2 linked regions of the Struthio camelus genome follow. The protein of the gene in region 1 interacts with the protein of each later gene in a biochemical or structural test. Links are inferred from orthologs where the notes say so. Each region holds a gene or a part of one and is shown on either strand. Other genes may lie near its edges.

The links. The genes of interacting proteins can lie anywhere in the genome.
Region 2: the proteins of PTPN11 (region 1) and tyrosine-protein phosphatase non-receptor type substrate 1-like form a complex in vitro, tested with the Homo sapiens proteins (2 studies listed by BioGRID). The link is inferred for Struthio camelus from reciprocal best matches to the Homo sapiens genes PTPN11 and SIRPA.

What each region holds. Positions count from the first base shown.
Region 1 is NC_090958.1:18,559,346-18,567,139, reverse strand, and holds the start of PTPN11 (tyrosine-protein phosphatase non-receptor type 11), read right to left. Parts: upstream 3,170-7,794; 5' UTR 2,973-3,169; coding exon 2,959-2,972; intron 1-2,958. Other genes in the region: RPL6 (large ribosomal subunit protein eL6), read left to right, coding at 4,285-4,506, 4,614-4,712, 5,259-5,402, 6,492-6,540, 6,883-7,067, 7,552-7,704. UniProt on the Homo sapiens protein: Acts downstream of various receptor and cytoplasmic protein tyrosine kinases to participate in the signal transduction from the cell surface to the nucleus. Positively regulates MAPK signal transduction pathway. Dephosphorylates GAB1, ARHGAP35 and EGFR.
Region 2 is NC_090959.1:18,179,280-18,186,427, forward strand, and holds the start of tyrosine-protein phosphatase non-receptor type substrate 1-like, read right to left. Parts: upstream 3,122-7,148; 5' UTR 3,076-3,121; intron 1-3,075. Other genes in the region: signal-regulatory protein beta-1-like, read left to right, coding at 6,983-7,049. UniProt on the Homo sapiens protein: Immunoglobulin-like cell surface receptor for CD47. Acts as docking protein and induces translocation of PTPN6, PTPN11 and other binding partners from the cytosol to the plasma membrane.

The DNA of each region.
Region 1 (7,794 bases):
ACAACCGAAAAAGAAATCAAGCCTACACAGTATGGGTCATGAAATGAATATATTAAAAAAATACTTCCAAGTTGTCACAGCAAATGGGAGTTAAAGTGAATCAATAAGTAATCCTACATTTATCTAATGACTACCTGAAGGTCAAGAGAAGTGTCCTGACAGAGACATATATTTTGCCTTGATACAGTCTCACAAAAGAAACAGCACAAGCATCAGTACACAGGGTGAACCAAGCATTAAATAATGTATTTGGGGATATGATAGATTTGGAGGGGAGAAGCTGATAGTATCTTTCCCACACTTTCACCCTGAAAATTTTACTTCCATTAGAAAAAAAAAAAGTGACAAATTTTGGAACGGTTTCTAAGAGTTTTAAAAACAGATAGGATTCAGGACACATCTTTGGGTGTTTGAGTTTACATCCAGAAACGTATAAAAAGATAGAGGGAAACTTACTGGAATCAGCTCTACAGATTTGTTATATGGCAATGTTCTATTAACCTCAATTAACGTATCATCCCCAGTGTCTTACCCTAACCCCAATGCACCTGGCAGTAACCATACTTCATTGGTTAGAATGATGCAAAATAACAAAATATATATATATTTTAACACACAGAGGGGAACACAAATAACTTGTACTTAGAAGACAGATTACAGAGATGACAAATTGCTATCAAAAAAGAAAAGAAAAGGTGTTCTCACCCCCACATACACAGGCACTCCTACTGAAGATGGCAAAAAGTTAAAGTGTAGAACAAGAAAAGCTACATCTGGGAGACTGACTGAGTTTATTGCACTTTATGTAACTTTTGTTCTAATGGTAACTTGTACTCCTGCTCCCTCATCCTTGTATTTTTGGCTCTGAGTAGGAAGATGCATTTGTCAGCCACCCCAAATAGAAAAATGGGGGTGTTAGTGATCTCTGTTAAATGGTTCCGGACCAGTGATCAAGATCACTTCATTTGAAGTACTGCCATCACATGTGCTTTGGAACCTTGGTGGCTACATCCCTTCCAAAACTGGAGGGGAGAGCAAAGGGGATTGCAGGCACAGATAGCAGTAACATAAGCCCTGCAGAGGACTTTCTCTTACACTTCCTTTTATAGGGATGGAATGCACTTTAGACCTTTTTCTACCTTCCTTCTTCAACCTCTGTTCTGAGCAGGTGCAGAAGCTATCCCTAGCAAAGAACATGACAGCCAAGAAAGTAGCATACATACACACTCTAATTAAGCTAGCTGTCCTCACTACGCATGAGATACTACTTAGAGCAATTCTGATGCAGGGGTTGCAGCCGCATACCATGCCGAGTCACTTGTTTTACAGTGAGATGAAAGTGTTAGAAGAGTAACTAGTGAAAGAGAGATCTCATTTACAAGAATAAAGGGATATCACCTAAAAGAACTATTTCAAAGAACTATGACATGTCAGGAAACATAGCCTTGCTACAAATTAATTTTAAGGGAAAAAAAAAAAAGTTGCACCTTGGATAGTCAAGAAAAAAAAAATCAGCAGATTGTGTATTTTAAAAGTCATACATTGCCAACATATTTTTCTTTAGTGAGAGAAACAGCATAAACAGCATAGAGGAGAGGGAAGAGCAGAAAGGACAGTAGATGAAAGGAAAAAAGTTTACCAGATTAAGGCAGAAAAGAAAGTAAACTTTTCCATGCCGTGATTTACCTTTTCTAACCATGTTTTCAAGAATGCACAAGATTAAACCAGTTCTGAGCCTTGGCTGGCACAACCGTGGCATTCACAGAGATGGTGACCGGTAGTTTAATTAATCCTATTTATAGGCTCATCAGCTTATATTTCTAACCCTTTTCTTGGTCTCCTTCACAAGTTACAATTTAAACTTCTAAGAAGAAGAGGATTGCACCTGCTGATGAGAAGGTAGCAACTATTTCTAAAAAGGCATCCGTACACATATTTTAACACGTAAGTGGGGACAATCAGAAAACACATGCACTAAAGATCCTCCACGCGTTTCAGGAGTCCCAAAATCAACTCCAAATGGCCACAAACTGAAAACCAACCAGGCTAGTTTTACCATCTTAGGCAGAAGAAAGAGGACAAGTAAACGTTGAAGAAATTACTCTTTAATAGATATTGTTTGAAAATACACATCATGTTTCAGAACAGGTCTATTAGATAAGAACATAAGTATTGTAGCCCTTTTTATCACAGTCACTCTGCTGGAATCTAACATTTACCTTAAACTCTCAGTCCAAAACAGACAGCTAAAATAAGACCAACACCAAAACACATTAAGGATAGGTTACAAGCGAAAATAAAGAGAATAAATTCAACCAAAGTTTATCATCCTAATTTAGCAATACCACAAGGATCTGAAATTAGACTGAATGCTGCTAATAAACCAAGAGCCTCGACCAGGTCAGCTCATCAGCGCTCACTGCAAACCGGCTCGTGCTGCAGTTTCAGCAGCGCCAGGGCACGGAGGGTAACGCGCCTCTCCCCGCCCTCGGCCCCCAGCCCGGCAACTGACCGCGTCACCGCGGCGATAAAACTCACCTTTCGGCCGGGTTCAAAGGCACGGGGAGGGGGCTGCAAACGCCACTGCTACCGGCGGCAGCGCCAGCCTCTGCACGGCGGGCGACGGGACCCGAGGCCAGCCGCGCCCCCCCCCCCAGCCCCGGGGGGCCCCCCCGTGCCGAGATGCCGGGCAGGGCGAAACGCGGCGGGGGCCAGGCCCGGACCCGCGCAGCGGCCGCACTGGGGCCACCCCGCCGCGGTCTGTCGGGGAAGCGGCTGCAGGCAGCGGGGCTGGGGGGGGGAGGGGGGGCCTGGCCGAGGCGGCGACGGAGCCCGGCGGCCCCCGCCACGGCGGGCGCTGAGGGGCCGCGGCCCCGCGGAGAGGCAGCCCCCAACCCTCTTCCCCCACCCCCCCACCTTCCGCCGCCAGGCTCGGCACCGCTCCCCGCCCCGCCTCACCTCCGCGATGTCATTTTCTCCCACGGCGCCGGCGGGTCGCGGTGCAGCCCGGCCGCCCCCGCCTCGACGGCCGCCTCTCACATGGGGGCCGCGGCCTAGGGGCGCCCTGAGGGGGAGCGCGAACAACAGCCGCCTCCAGGCCCCGAAGGCGCACAGAGCGCGGCGCAGCCCTCACGCGTCATCAACCCGCGCCACCGACTCCACCCCCCCCCCCCGGGGCGTCCGCCGGCTCCCTAAAAGGGAGCGCTCGCCCCCTCCCCCCCCCGGGGTGGCTGTGCGGAGCCCCGTTCCCCGGGAGCGCCTTCGGGGGGGGGGGGGGGATGCGATGTCCGAGGACAGAAAGTAGATGCGACTTCGCGGGCTGCGGCACCCCGGAGCCGCCGAGGCCGCCCCCTCCGCCCCCCGGCCGCCGCCTGCCCTTGCCCCTCCCGCTGTCCCCCCCTCCTCGGCCACCTGGGAGACCCCGGCCGCTCCCGGCCTCCCCGGACTACAAGTCCCGGCGTGCTCCGCGGCCGCCGCGCTGACGTCAGGCGCTGCGCTGGCTTTAGGGCGCGGTGGCCCGGATGTGAGTCCCTTTCCCTCCCCGGAAGGTAAGAATGGCGGAGCGGCGGCGGGCAGGGCCGGGACCCGGCGGGCCTTATCTGCCGCCATCTGCCTTCGGCAGGCTGCTCTGGGCCCGGGGGTCTGGCCGGGTGCCCTCGGGGGGCGCGGGTGAGGGCTGACGGGGGCTGGGGAGGAGGAGGGGGGGGCGGTGGGAGGGCCAGCTGTCTGCGGCTAGGCCGCGGCGGAGCGCGGAGGTTGGGACGGGCCGCGGCCGGCAGGGACGGAGCTGGCGGGAGGCGCTGGGACCCGGCCGGGAGACGGAGCCCTGCAGGCCCTGGTGCAGGGCTGCGCCGGGGCCCGGGGAGAGCAGGCGTAGCCCCGTGATGTGGCCGTGCGCGGCGGGTCCGGCTGGGGCCCGCCCTGCGGGTGGGGCTCGGCAGCCTTCCCCGGGGCCCGAGCTCTGGGGGAGTCCCGAGCACCGTGTGGCTGCGACCTCATCGTGCGTGTGCCTCTTCTTGGGCTTTCTGGATTCGAGGGTTTGGATGTATCGAGGGAATGGGTAGCTGGTGTAATTAGTGCAGAAGAGCCTTTTGCGTTGTGGGCCAACAGGCAGCAAACAGGATGGTTTTTGACTCCATGGTGTCTTGATTTGCTGTAAAAGGTGCCTGAGAAATAGTGGAATGGTTTAAAGGTTTTATTTCCAATCCTTGTCTTTTGCAATGTTAATGTTTTCTCTGCGTGCCTCATAATACACAAAAATTTCCATTTTACTTGGGTCCACAGATGGCGGGTGAGAAGAAGGCAGGTGATAAAAAGGCAGGTGAGAGTAAACCAGGTGAGAAGAAGGCAAGCCAGAAGAAAATACGCGAGAAGACAAGGAAGCCTAAGAAGCATCATGCCAGCCGCAACCCTGTACTGGCCCGGGGAATCGGGAGGTATTCCCGGTCAGCTATGTATGCCAGAAAAGCAATGTACAAGCGCAAGTACACTGCTCCAGAAACAAAGGTAGATGGACAAGAAATACCGTGTTTAAATAAGCGTACTGTCTGATAGCTTTTCAGAGTGACTTTGGTTTGAAATGTTCTTTGCGTTCCCTTTTTCTCTGCCTACAGATAGAAAAGAAAAAGAAAGAAAAGCCACCGGCAACCATCACCAAACCAGTTGGTGGAGATAAGAATGGAGGCAGCCGTGTGGTTAAAGTCCGCAAAATGGTAAGAACGTGCCAGGGAAAAAGCTTGCTCTCAGCAGATGATGAGTTGTGCTGATGAACTCAGATGCTCGCAGTTAAGGCTGCTATGGGCTGTTATGTGTACTGTGTTTGTGTAAATCTCGTCTAGACGATGTGCATCTTGGATAGCGTAACCTAGCAGTCCTAGTGCACCCAGCAAGAGCTTCAACCCCTGCCATGTAACAGTGAACAGTTTCCAGTTATCTCCTTGGGATAACAGCTCTATTGATTCTAGTTCCCTGGAGACATGCCTGTAATTCAAAGCTTGATTAGCAGGCAAGAGCGGGTCATCTTCTGCCATCTGTATTGCTGCACTGAATTGGAAGAATGCTTAGAAAAACAGCGTTGGTCTTAATTTTTGCAGCTATGTAACTTGAAAGAAAATACTCAGTATTTTCCTGAAGTGCCATAAGCAGCAAAAGGTATCTTTCAGAAAGATCATCTTTGGGGTAATAATTGAAATTGTAGTGAAAGCTGGCTATCCCATGGGATATGGGGTGGTTAAAATATTTTGCTCCTTTTTTTCTAGCCAAGATACTATCCAACTGAGGATGTTCCTCGCAAACTTTTGAGTCATGGCAAAAAGCCCTTTTGTCAACACAAGAGGAAGCTGCGTGCCTCTATTACTCCAGGAACTGTTCTGATCCTTCTGACTGGTCGTCATAGAGGCAAGGTAACCTGGAACTTCTTCCATGTTCTTGTCATGGCTCTCATGGTGGCTTTGCAGCAGTTTTGTGCTGAAATCTCTTTGAATAAGCAGAGGCAACTCGAATGTACCAGTTGATTTCATGGGATGCTGTTCCAGCCCCCAGAAGAAAGGAATTTGCAACTCTAATTAGGTTCTGTGAACTCTGTAGAGATGGCTTTCTCCTGTCCTGCCTTTAAGGGAAATAGTCTCTAAAGAAATGTCCTACTATACAAAGCTGGAAATAAGACAGGCTAATCCAGTTGTTCTGACAAGGTTAAGGGAGTCTTGCTGTAATGCAAAAAGTGTGTAGATTCGTGTTACACTAATTTTGGGTTGCATAATAGCAGATTTAATGCCTGTTTTTATTACTGTAGCAGCGAGGCCAAAAGTTTGTCTTTGACCAGCTATTGCAAAGAAAGAATTGAATTTTTATTCCTAATCTGAATTGTGAAGATAACACTCGATTGTTACATTAAGCTGTGTTGCATGTCTTAATGACGTTTACTAGCAGGTCTTAACTGACACCCTTTATTTCCTTGCGTTCTTCAGCTTCACTGTCACATCACTTAAAAGAATGCTGTTCAGGGAAGGAAACCTAGCATCCTAGATCAGAAAGAGATAAAATCCCAGTGTGGGACAGGTCTGATGATATATTGTGATCCCCTTCTGTTTTTTTTAATCTAGTTCTTGCCTTTACTTGGGTCCTCAGAGAAGCTGAGTGACAGTTTTGCTGTCTCACCATACTGTAGAATGTGCAGGAATAGGCAAAAGATCTGACAATGTACTAATTGGCTTTGCTCAGTATTAAATGGTGAAGCATATAGAGAGCTGCAGTCTGTCACAGATGCAGTAACGCTGGCAGAATTGCCCTTTGTGAAACATTTATAGCGTGGCTTATGTGGATGGCTGCCCCTCATGTAGTATAGTTACATCTGTGCCTCGATGCTTTGTCAATGCATGTACCAGTAATATGGGCTGAGTGTAGACACGGTCCCAGTTTGGTTGCAGTATTTCCCAAGCATCAAAGAAGATGTAATGCTTGGACCTGAGGACTAATGTCACATCTCTTTTCAGCGTGTGGTCTTCTTGAAGCAGCTTGCTACTGGCCTGTTGCTTGTTACAGGTAAGAAACTTTTTTTTAGTCAAATCCGTTTTTAGTCCAACTTTGTTTCTGGTATCGGTAGTGTTGGAGACTGCTATATGGATGGTTTGGCAAGGTATGTGTTCATCTGACTATGTGGAATCATGTTTGTGAATCTTGGGGAGGTGGAAAGTTTGAAAATCTGGAATAGATCAGGAAGCATCTTTCAGCCTTTTGGTCAGCCATGGAGAAGGGCTTTGACTGTTCAGATTTTAACTGTGAGCATCTCCGTAAAACTTATACGCCACAGAACTTCAACCTTAGAAGTGGTGGCTGTTGCCAAAAAAGATGACCTTTTGTATCTTTTCTTTCTTTTGCCTTTAGGACCCTTGGTTATCAACCGTGTTCCTCTGCGTAGGGCCCATCAGAAATTTGTTATCGCTACATCTACCAAGGTTGATATCACTGGAGTGAGAATTCCCAAACATCTTACTGATGCATACTTTAAGAAGAAGAGGCTGCGTAAGCCCAAGCACCAGGAAGGCGAGATCTTTGACACTGAAAAAGAAGTAAGGAATTCAGTTGATCGTTCTTTGCACGTGTCCTTGTTACTTAAAGCCAGGCTGGAAGGGGGAAAATTTTGTGAAACAAACGGACAATTTTAATTTTCATTTAAGTGGTCTTCAGTAAAGTGAGGTAATGCCATTAAAATGAATTAATAGGGCACTCTCTTGCTTCTACCTTTAGCAGAATAGCAGCCATGGTTAATCTAATTGAATATTGGTGGGTTTTGTTTGTTTGCGAAACACCTTTGCTATTTTGATGTTGCCAACAGTGTGCTGCTGGCTCTGATCATCTGTAACCTAAGCCAAACGGTGGCTTCAGTCCCCTCTGCCATCTCCGGTCTCCTACCACCTTTCCCATATTTAGAACAAATGCAGAGAAGCTTTCTTGAGGTGCCAAGAGCTCAGGGCTTGCATTGAACTCTTAGCTCCAGAGATGAGTCTGAAGTCATTCTGCAAGTATTTTAATATTATTCCGTGTTCTTTCTAGAAATATGAGATAACGGAGCAACGCAAGTCAGACCAGAAGGCAGTGGATTCACAGATCCTGGCAAGAATCAAGAAGGTGCCTCAGCTCCGTGGGTACCTGCGGTCTACATTTTCTCTCTCAAATGGAGTTTATCCTCACAAATTGGTGTTCTAATTGTTCTGAAAACACCGCATTAAATTTGAGGGGAAAAATGCAAGAATTTCTGGTGTCTTCATTGCAGTTCACAGTAGTGTGTGCTGTGCA
Region 2 (7,148 bases), on another chromosome or scaffold:
CGAGTGGGGTTTAAAGCAGCGGCTTCGCAGCTTTCCAGGGCTTTCTCTTCCCGGGAGGGCGCTGACGGGACAGGGACGGAGGCGCTCAGCGGGATGCCGCAGGTGCCCGGGCAGCTCTGGCTGCACCTCGCCGGCGGCTCCCAGCCTCCCGCGCGCTCCCGCGGGACTCGGCGGGGTTGAAAGCCGGAGGAGGACAGAGGTAAGGGGGTCTCCGGCGCCCGAGAGGGGCCCGACGACCCGGGGCCGGCTGGCGGCAGCGGCGGGGCGAGCCGGGAGGGGGCTCAGCGGCGTTATCCCCCGCCGGAGCGTCTGCGAGGCCGGAGGGGCACCCGGACGGCGCCGGAGCCGGCGGGAGCCCCCTCGGGCCCGTGCAGGCTCCTCTGCGGGCGCCGGCCCCGGGCCGGGCGCTGCCGCCGGATCCTCCTCCCCGTCCCCGAGCAACGGCCCGTCAGGCGAGTCTTTCTTGAGCCCTGGCTGCTCCTGTTCGTCTGGCGGACCTGGGAAATCCCTCTTTCGCGCTTGCCGGAGCGCTGGCCTCCCCGACGTCCTGCGGCGACGGACCGCGCAGGCTAAACGCGGGCCGGGCGCAAGGGATTTCCTTTCGTCGCTGGGCGGGAAGCGTGTTCAGCAGCTTTCATTTTCACTGCCTGTCCCCCCGTGACGGAGAGCGGCCGGGCAGGGCAGAGCCCAGCTGCCGTCCTCCTCCTCCTCCTCCTGCTGCTGCCGCCGCCGGGGATTTCACAAAAACGGGACCGGGCGCAGGAGTGCGATCCCCCCCCGGCGGGGCCGCAGCAGCCTGGGCACAACCTGCTACGAGACGCCGGAGAGTCCGCACAGCCCCGCGGCAGCCTCGAGGGCCGCCTGCCCGGCGCCGCGCTCCGCTGGCTCCCGGCTGCAGCGGTGCCGGGGCCGCGGGCTCCCCGTCGGCGCCGGGGCCTCTCGCGGGGCCGTTCGCGGGCGGCGCTGAGCGCCCCCCGCCCGGCCCAGCGCCCTCGGCCCGGCAGACGGCGGCTCCTCCGTAACGAGTGTTTTTTACTCAAGCTGTGCTTATGGGGCTGGAAAAACATCCATGGGGCTGGAAAGAGCTGAGCCCTCACTAACTCATGAAATTGGGGGGAATAATAGCGCCGGAGGTGAGGACAAGGCACAAAAGCAGTTCCTATGACAACCCCGAATCCCCAAACTGTTTATCCTCTTTAATAAAAATCTGCAATAACCGTGAAACCAGCGAACAGGATTCAATACGTACTACACGAAATGAGTAACAGCGTAAAGCACGTAACCATTTTACTTCCGCTCCGTTCCTTGCTTCCCCGTGAAAATCCTGCCCTGATAAACAGAGAGCGGAGAAGGGGCAGGTTGGCGGGGTCGCGTCGCCGTCCCTGGCCGGTGGGACGCCCGCAGGAGCCCGGCCGAGGCGATGCCGCCCGCGCTGGCGCGCAGGAGACGGGCCAGCTGGCTGCAGAGAGCCAGCAGCGGCGGTGCGGGACCAGGGACCGGCAGCAGCGGTGGTGCGGGACCAGGGAGTGGTGGCAGCGGCGGTGCGGGACCGGGGACCGGCAGCAGCGGTGGTGCGGGACCAGGGAGTGGTGGCAGCGGCAATGCGGGACCGGGGATCGGCGCAGCGGCGGTGCGGGGCCGGGGACCAGGGGCAGCAGCGGTGTGGGGCCGGGGACCGGCAGCAGCAGCGGTGCGGGGCCGGGGACCGGCGGCAGCGGCGGTGCGGGACCGGGGACCACCGGCGGCAGCAGTGCAGGGCCGCGGCCAGAGCGCGGATATCCCCGTGGGTATCGCCGGGTGCCCTGGCCCGTCTGGCACCGTGCAAACACGGAAAGGCCAACCGGGGCGGCCCTACCCCAAAAAACATGCCCCTTTCGACATGCCTATTTGGCGGCGAGGCTGTCGGCTGCCCGCTCCGGCGGTCCGGGTGCGGGAGCCGAACGGCCCCGCGGGGACCGGCGCTCGGCGGGGGGCACCTGCGGCAGGCGGCTCCCCACGAGCCAGCTGGGCGCGTTCAGCTCTCCAGCTAGCGTTTGCATCCCGAAACGTCGCCTGAATAGCGCGGTGCGATTGGGGCGGGCGCTGGCTGCGCGGCGTCCTCGGCCTCTCTGCCTCCGGTCCCTCTCCCCGCGGGAGCGCAGCCCGGATAAATCAGCAGGAGCCGGTAGAGATCCGCGTGGCTTTTCCTAGGGGCGCTCAAAGCACCCCCCGGGACCCTCCCAACCTTTCCGAAATCCCCTCAGAGCGTCTCAGCGCCCGGCCGGGGCCCTGCTTGTGCCGTCGGATGCCAGCGCTGCTGCGCGGCGGCGGCCTGGCGCGGGACATGTCCCACGTCTCCGGGGACGGGGCTTCCTGGGGAGCCCCCAGGGAAAGGGGACGAGGATGGGGACTTACGAGGATGGGGACGGGGACGGCGCCGGTGCAGCCCCGGGGGCGATCCAAAGCGCGGGCGGCGTCTCGGGTGGACGCCAGGTCTCGGGGACAGAAGCAGCCACTAAAGCGGGACCCGGCTGCATCAGCCTGCGCCGTCAGCCGGCTGCGAGGGACGAGGCTGGACTCTCCCGGCCCGTTCGTTCACCCGCTCCCCCCCGCCGCAGTGCCGATAACACCGTCCCGGAGGGAGCGGACCAAGGGTAAACGCCCGGTCCGGCTCTGCGCAGCGTTCACACCGGCCCTCCCCACGCCCGGCTTGGGGCAAAACCGCCCCGCATCGGCACCAAATCCCCGCGCCCGCTGCCCCCCGGCCGCCCCAGCCCCCCGGCCCGGCCGCGCTCCTACCTGCTCGGCCGCTTGTTTGTGCTTTCACTGCCGGCACACCCGGGCTGCTGGCTTAAAGGATTTTCCCACAATAACCACCAAATCCCTCTCCCGGGCACTAAGCCGCAGCCCTGCGCCCTTTCCCAGGTGCACAGCGCTCCCAGCCCGCCGCTCGCTGCTTTCCATATGCTTTCATCACGCTGGATTTTCCCCCTCCCGACCCAGCCCAATGCTGAAAAACGCCCTAAATCGGATTTCGTTGCCCCGTGCGGGCGAGGTGTCTCCCCGCTCTCGCTCTCAGCCGCCGGTTTTACATACGCTGCTCGCAGTCCTCGCTGGGGCGTGCGGCACGCAGCCACTGCCGGCGTCCTCGGGGCGGCCCGCGGCCAGGACGCGGCGCTGGCGGCCGCCGGCACGGGGCACTCCGGCCCGCGCTTCGCGCCAGCTGCTGACCTGCCCGGGGAACCGGTCGCCGCTCATCGAGGCCGCGGCCCAGCTTCTGCCACTGCCCCGCGGGGCTCGGGGGCTCGGCTGGGTCCGGGCTCGCGGCCGGAGCTCGGGACCGCGGCGCCGGGGCCCCCGCCCTGCTCCTGCCTTTGCAAACGTCCCCGCGCTGCGCCCGCGGCCGGGGCGCTGCATGCAGGACTCGGCGCTGCCACTGAGAAAAGAAATGTCCCCAAAGCGTGCCCAGGTGTTAAGACATGTCCCCTGCGACACGCATGCAAATGGGTTTCGTAAGCGGCTTCCCTCCCCGGCAGCGCTCTGCCCGTCGGCAGGATCTCTCTGCTCGCAGATAAACCCCCGGTACCTAGATGCACACGCAGACGCTGCACGCTGTCTTGTTTCACTTCTCTATTTTGATTTCACAGAAAAAAAAAAAGAAAAAAAAAACAGAGAAAGGAAATTGGAAGTTGGCATCTGCAAACAGCTTTCAAGGGGCGCAGGCAGCAGCGACGGGCCGAAGCGCAAGGTTTCCCGGCCCGGAAACGTGCTCAGCCCAGCGGCAGGCGCCGTGCCTGGCGGCGGGGAGGCCGAGCCGGCCAGGCGCTCCGTCCCCGGCCGCGGAGGCGCGCGGCGGCCGCGTGCTCCCAGCTTCGAGCTGCTCGGCTCCGGCAGCTGCCGCCGGCGGCGTGGGGAAGCGCCAATGCCCGGGACTCGACCGGCCGCGCGCCCGGCCGCTGGGGCGGCTTCGCAGACGCCTTATTAAAGGCGATGCATCGCCGGGGCTGAGCGCGGCGGGGCCGGAGGGGCAGCCAGCAAGGGCCCGCGGCGCCAGGACAGCGCCGAGCCGCCTGGGGCCACAAAGTGCCCCTGAAAGGGGCCGAGAGGGGCCAGCCGGGCCCCTCTGCCGCTTCTTCCTCGCGTCCCGCAGAAAAGGTCCTCGCTTCGTCCCCCGGCACGGGCCCGCGGCCGGGCGTCGCGGCTGGGGACCAGGCTTTACCGCGCAGCTAGCCGGATGCTGGCGTACTCGGTGCCGGGGGCGCCGGGGCTGCGCGCCCGCCGCGGGGCCGCCGGCAGGTGCCGCAGGTCGGCGTAGTGAACGTCGGCGTCCGGCCCGCCGGCCCGCTGCAACGGCGAGAGCCGCGCGTGGGTGAGGCCGTCGCGAGGGAACCGTGCACAAAGGAGCCCGCGGGCGCCTTCGGCAACGCGGCCGCCCCTCGGCCCGGCGGCCGCCGCCGCTGCCCCCCGAACCGCCCCGGAGCCGCCGCGTCCCCAAACCCCCTTGGCAAAGGCTCTTCCCTCGCCTTCGCCTCCCGCTCCTACCTGGCCGGGCGGAGGTGAGGTCTCGGCGTCCGGCACGCGGCTGCTGGGGGAGAAGGACTGCCGTTAGCGCTGCCAGCAGCCGCCCCCCCCGGCCCGCGGGGCTCCCGGCGGCCCCCGGCCCATCCCGGGCGCCAGCTGGCGGGTTTTACCGCCGGGCTGACGCGGACGGGAGCGACGCAGCGCAGCGACGCGCCGACGAATGCAAGCTCTTTTCCGGGGGGGGGAAAAACCCAAGTCTCCGAAGCGGGTGCAAACCTGGAGGCAGATGGAGAAGGCAGAGTTTCCTCGCGGCGGCAGGCGGCGGGTGCCAACCCGGGGCTGCCGGGGCTGCCCCCTGCCAAGCGAAGGAGAGGAGGGGTGAGCGGGGCGCGCGGCAGCCCCCAGCGCCCGGCCAGCCCGCCCGGCGCCCCGCTCACCTCCCCTCTTCCGCTGGTAGACGCACAGGGCGACGAGGAGGACGAGGAGGAGGATGGAGAGCGCCGCGGCGGCGACGGCCACGCTGGGAAACGGGGCCCTCTCTGCGGGGACACGAGCCTCAGCGGCGGGCGCCGGCACGGTGCCGGGGCGGGGGGCCGCGGGGGCGCCGACTCACCGTGCACCGACACCGTCGTGCCGGGCCCCGAGCAATAAACCTGCTCCTCCGACCCGGGCCGAAGCTTCACGCAGTAATAGGTGCCGGCGTCCTCGGGGCGGGCGTCGCTGATGTGGATGGTGAAGTCTGTGTTGGAGCCGTTCGCCGCCCTCGTGACGCGGGGGAAGGAGCTTTTCTGATCGTAAATGGTCCGGTTCTTGCCGTCCGAGGGCTTCAGCCACCTCACGGGTCCCGCTCCAGCGTGCTCCGAGACGGCGCAGCGCAGCGTGAGCGTCTGCCCCACGGACACGGACACCTCGGCCTGCGGCTGCTGCAGCTGGACGCGCGCGGCCGCCCGGGCGCCGGCACCTGCAGCGGGGCCGAGTGAGCGCCCCAGGCAGCCGCCGGCTGCCCTCGCTCGCACCGGCCCGGGCAGAGCCCCCGCAGCCGCCTGGCGCCTGCGCGGCGCTTTCGCTGAGCGCTATCAGGGACGAACTGCCCCAAGTGGGGCTGGCGGAGGGCAGGCGCAAAGCGGACGGCGGGGGGAGATCCTTCGCCCCCCCCAACCCGGGGGGCTGCTTGCCGCGAGATGCTGCAGGTGCTCCGGGTCTACAGAGGCAGACGAAGGAGCAACGCCGGGGAGGAAGAGCCAGGACGCGCCGCGAACCACCAGCGCGAGCAGGCAGCGTTTATCGGGCAGCCGGCCCCGAGCCCGCAGGCGGCCCGCAGCCTTTCCCGGCCCTCGGGATTTGGCTCTCCGTGCAGCCCGGCTCCTGCCTCCAAACCCCCCGGGCACCCCGCGCGCCCCTCGCCGCCCGGCCCCGGGCGAAACGGCAGAGATGCTGCAGCCCGGCAGCGCCGGGACGCCGGCAGAGACGTGCGCCTCCCTCGCCCCCGGGGAACGGCACGCAGCCCTGCAGCCCCCGGCAGCGAGGCTGTCCCCTGCCGCGCGATGCGTCCCTCGGGACAGAGGGCACGGAGCGGCGGGGCCGGGCGGCGGGCAGCGCCGGGGCGCTGCGCCCTACTCACCCGCCAGCGGGGCCGGGCACAGGCTGAGCAGCTGCACGAGGAGGGGAGGCACGGCGGCCGCCCGCAGAGCCATCGGCGCCACCGAAAGTTTCAGCTCCAACTTCAGGAGAAGGAAAATGAGAAGCTGCACAGGAAATGGAAGCGAGTGGGCGCGGGCGGTTAACGCTTTTGGTGCCTGCCTGGCTGCGTGCCGGACCCGGGCGCCGGGAGGCAGCGCCGGCCGGGAGCAGAGCAGGGCTTAACCCCTCAGATGCATCATCCGAGGTCGAAGCGCTTCTGCGCGCACCGCAGCCTGCCCGCACGGAGCTTGCTGCAGGGGCGGCCGGCGCCGGGAGCAGCCGCGGCCGGGGCAGGGGAGCGCCTCTGCCGGAGCCTGCAGCCGAGGCGCAGCGCGAGGAAGGCGGCCGCCTCGGGACAGGCTGCACGTTTCAGAGCTGCGCGCGAGATTTCCCGGCCTGCAGGGAGGAGCGGCAGCGAGAGGAGCCCGCGCGGCGGGCAGGCGAAGCTTGCACCACGCCGCCGTCCCCTCTGCCCAGGCCCCTCTACCCAGACACCGCGCGGGGCGGCAGGCGCCCACGGCCCCCGGCGGCGGCGGGCGCAGGGCGGCTCGCGGGGCTGCAGACCCGCCGCAGCGCCGCTTCGTGGGACGGCGGCTCTGCAGCCCCGACGGCTGGCAAGCACGCAACCTCGTGACGTGTCAAGGCGAAAACGATTTGGAAACCTTCCGGCCTTGCATGGAGGTGGCAGAGGAACTTCGCCTGCTGTCGTGACCTTCCTTCCCCATTTGCGATAAGTCCTCCCCGAGCCCCCGAGCCGGCTGAGCCGAGCCGAGCCGGTCGGGAGCGGGACGCGGGTCTTGCCATGGCTGCGGCCACGCCGGCGCTGGCTCTCGCCTGCCTGGTGCTGCTGCTGCTCTGCAGAGCCACGGGTGAGTGTCGGGCACGGGGCCACCTCGGCGCCCCGCTCTCCTGCATCCTTCCCTGGCCGCCGGCAGAACCGTCCTTCCCCTGCGCCTGACCATATTCGG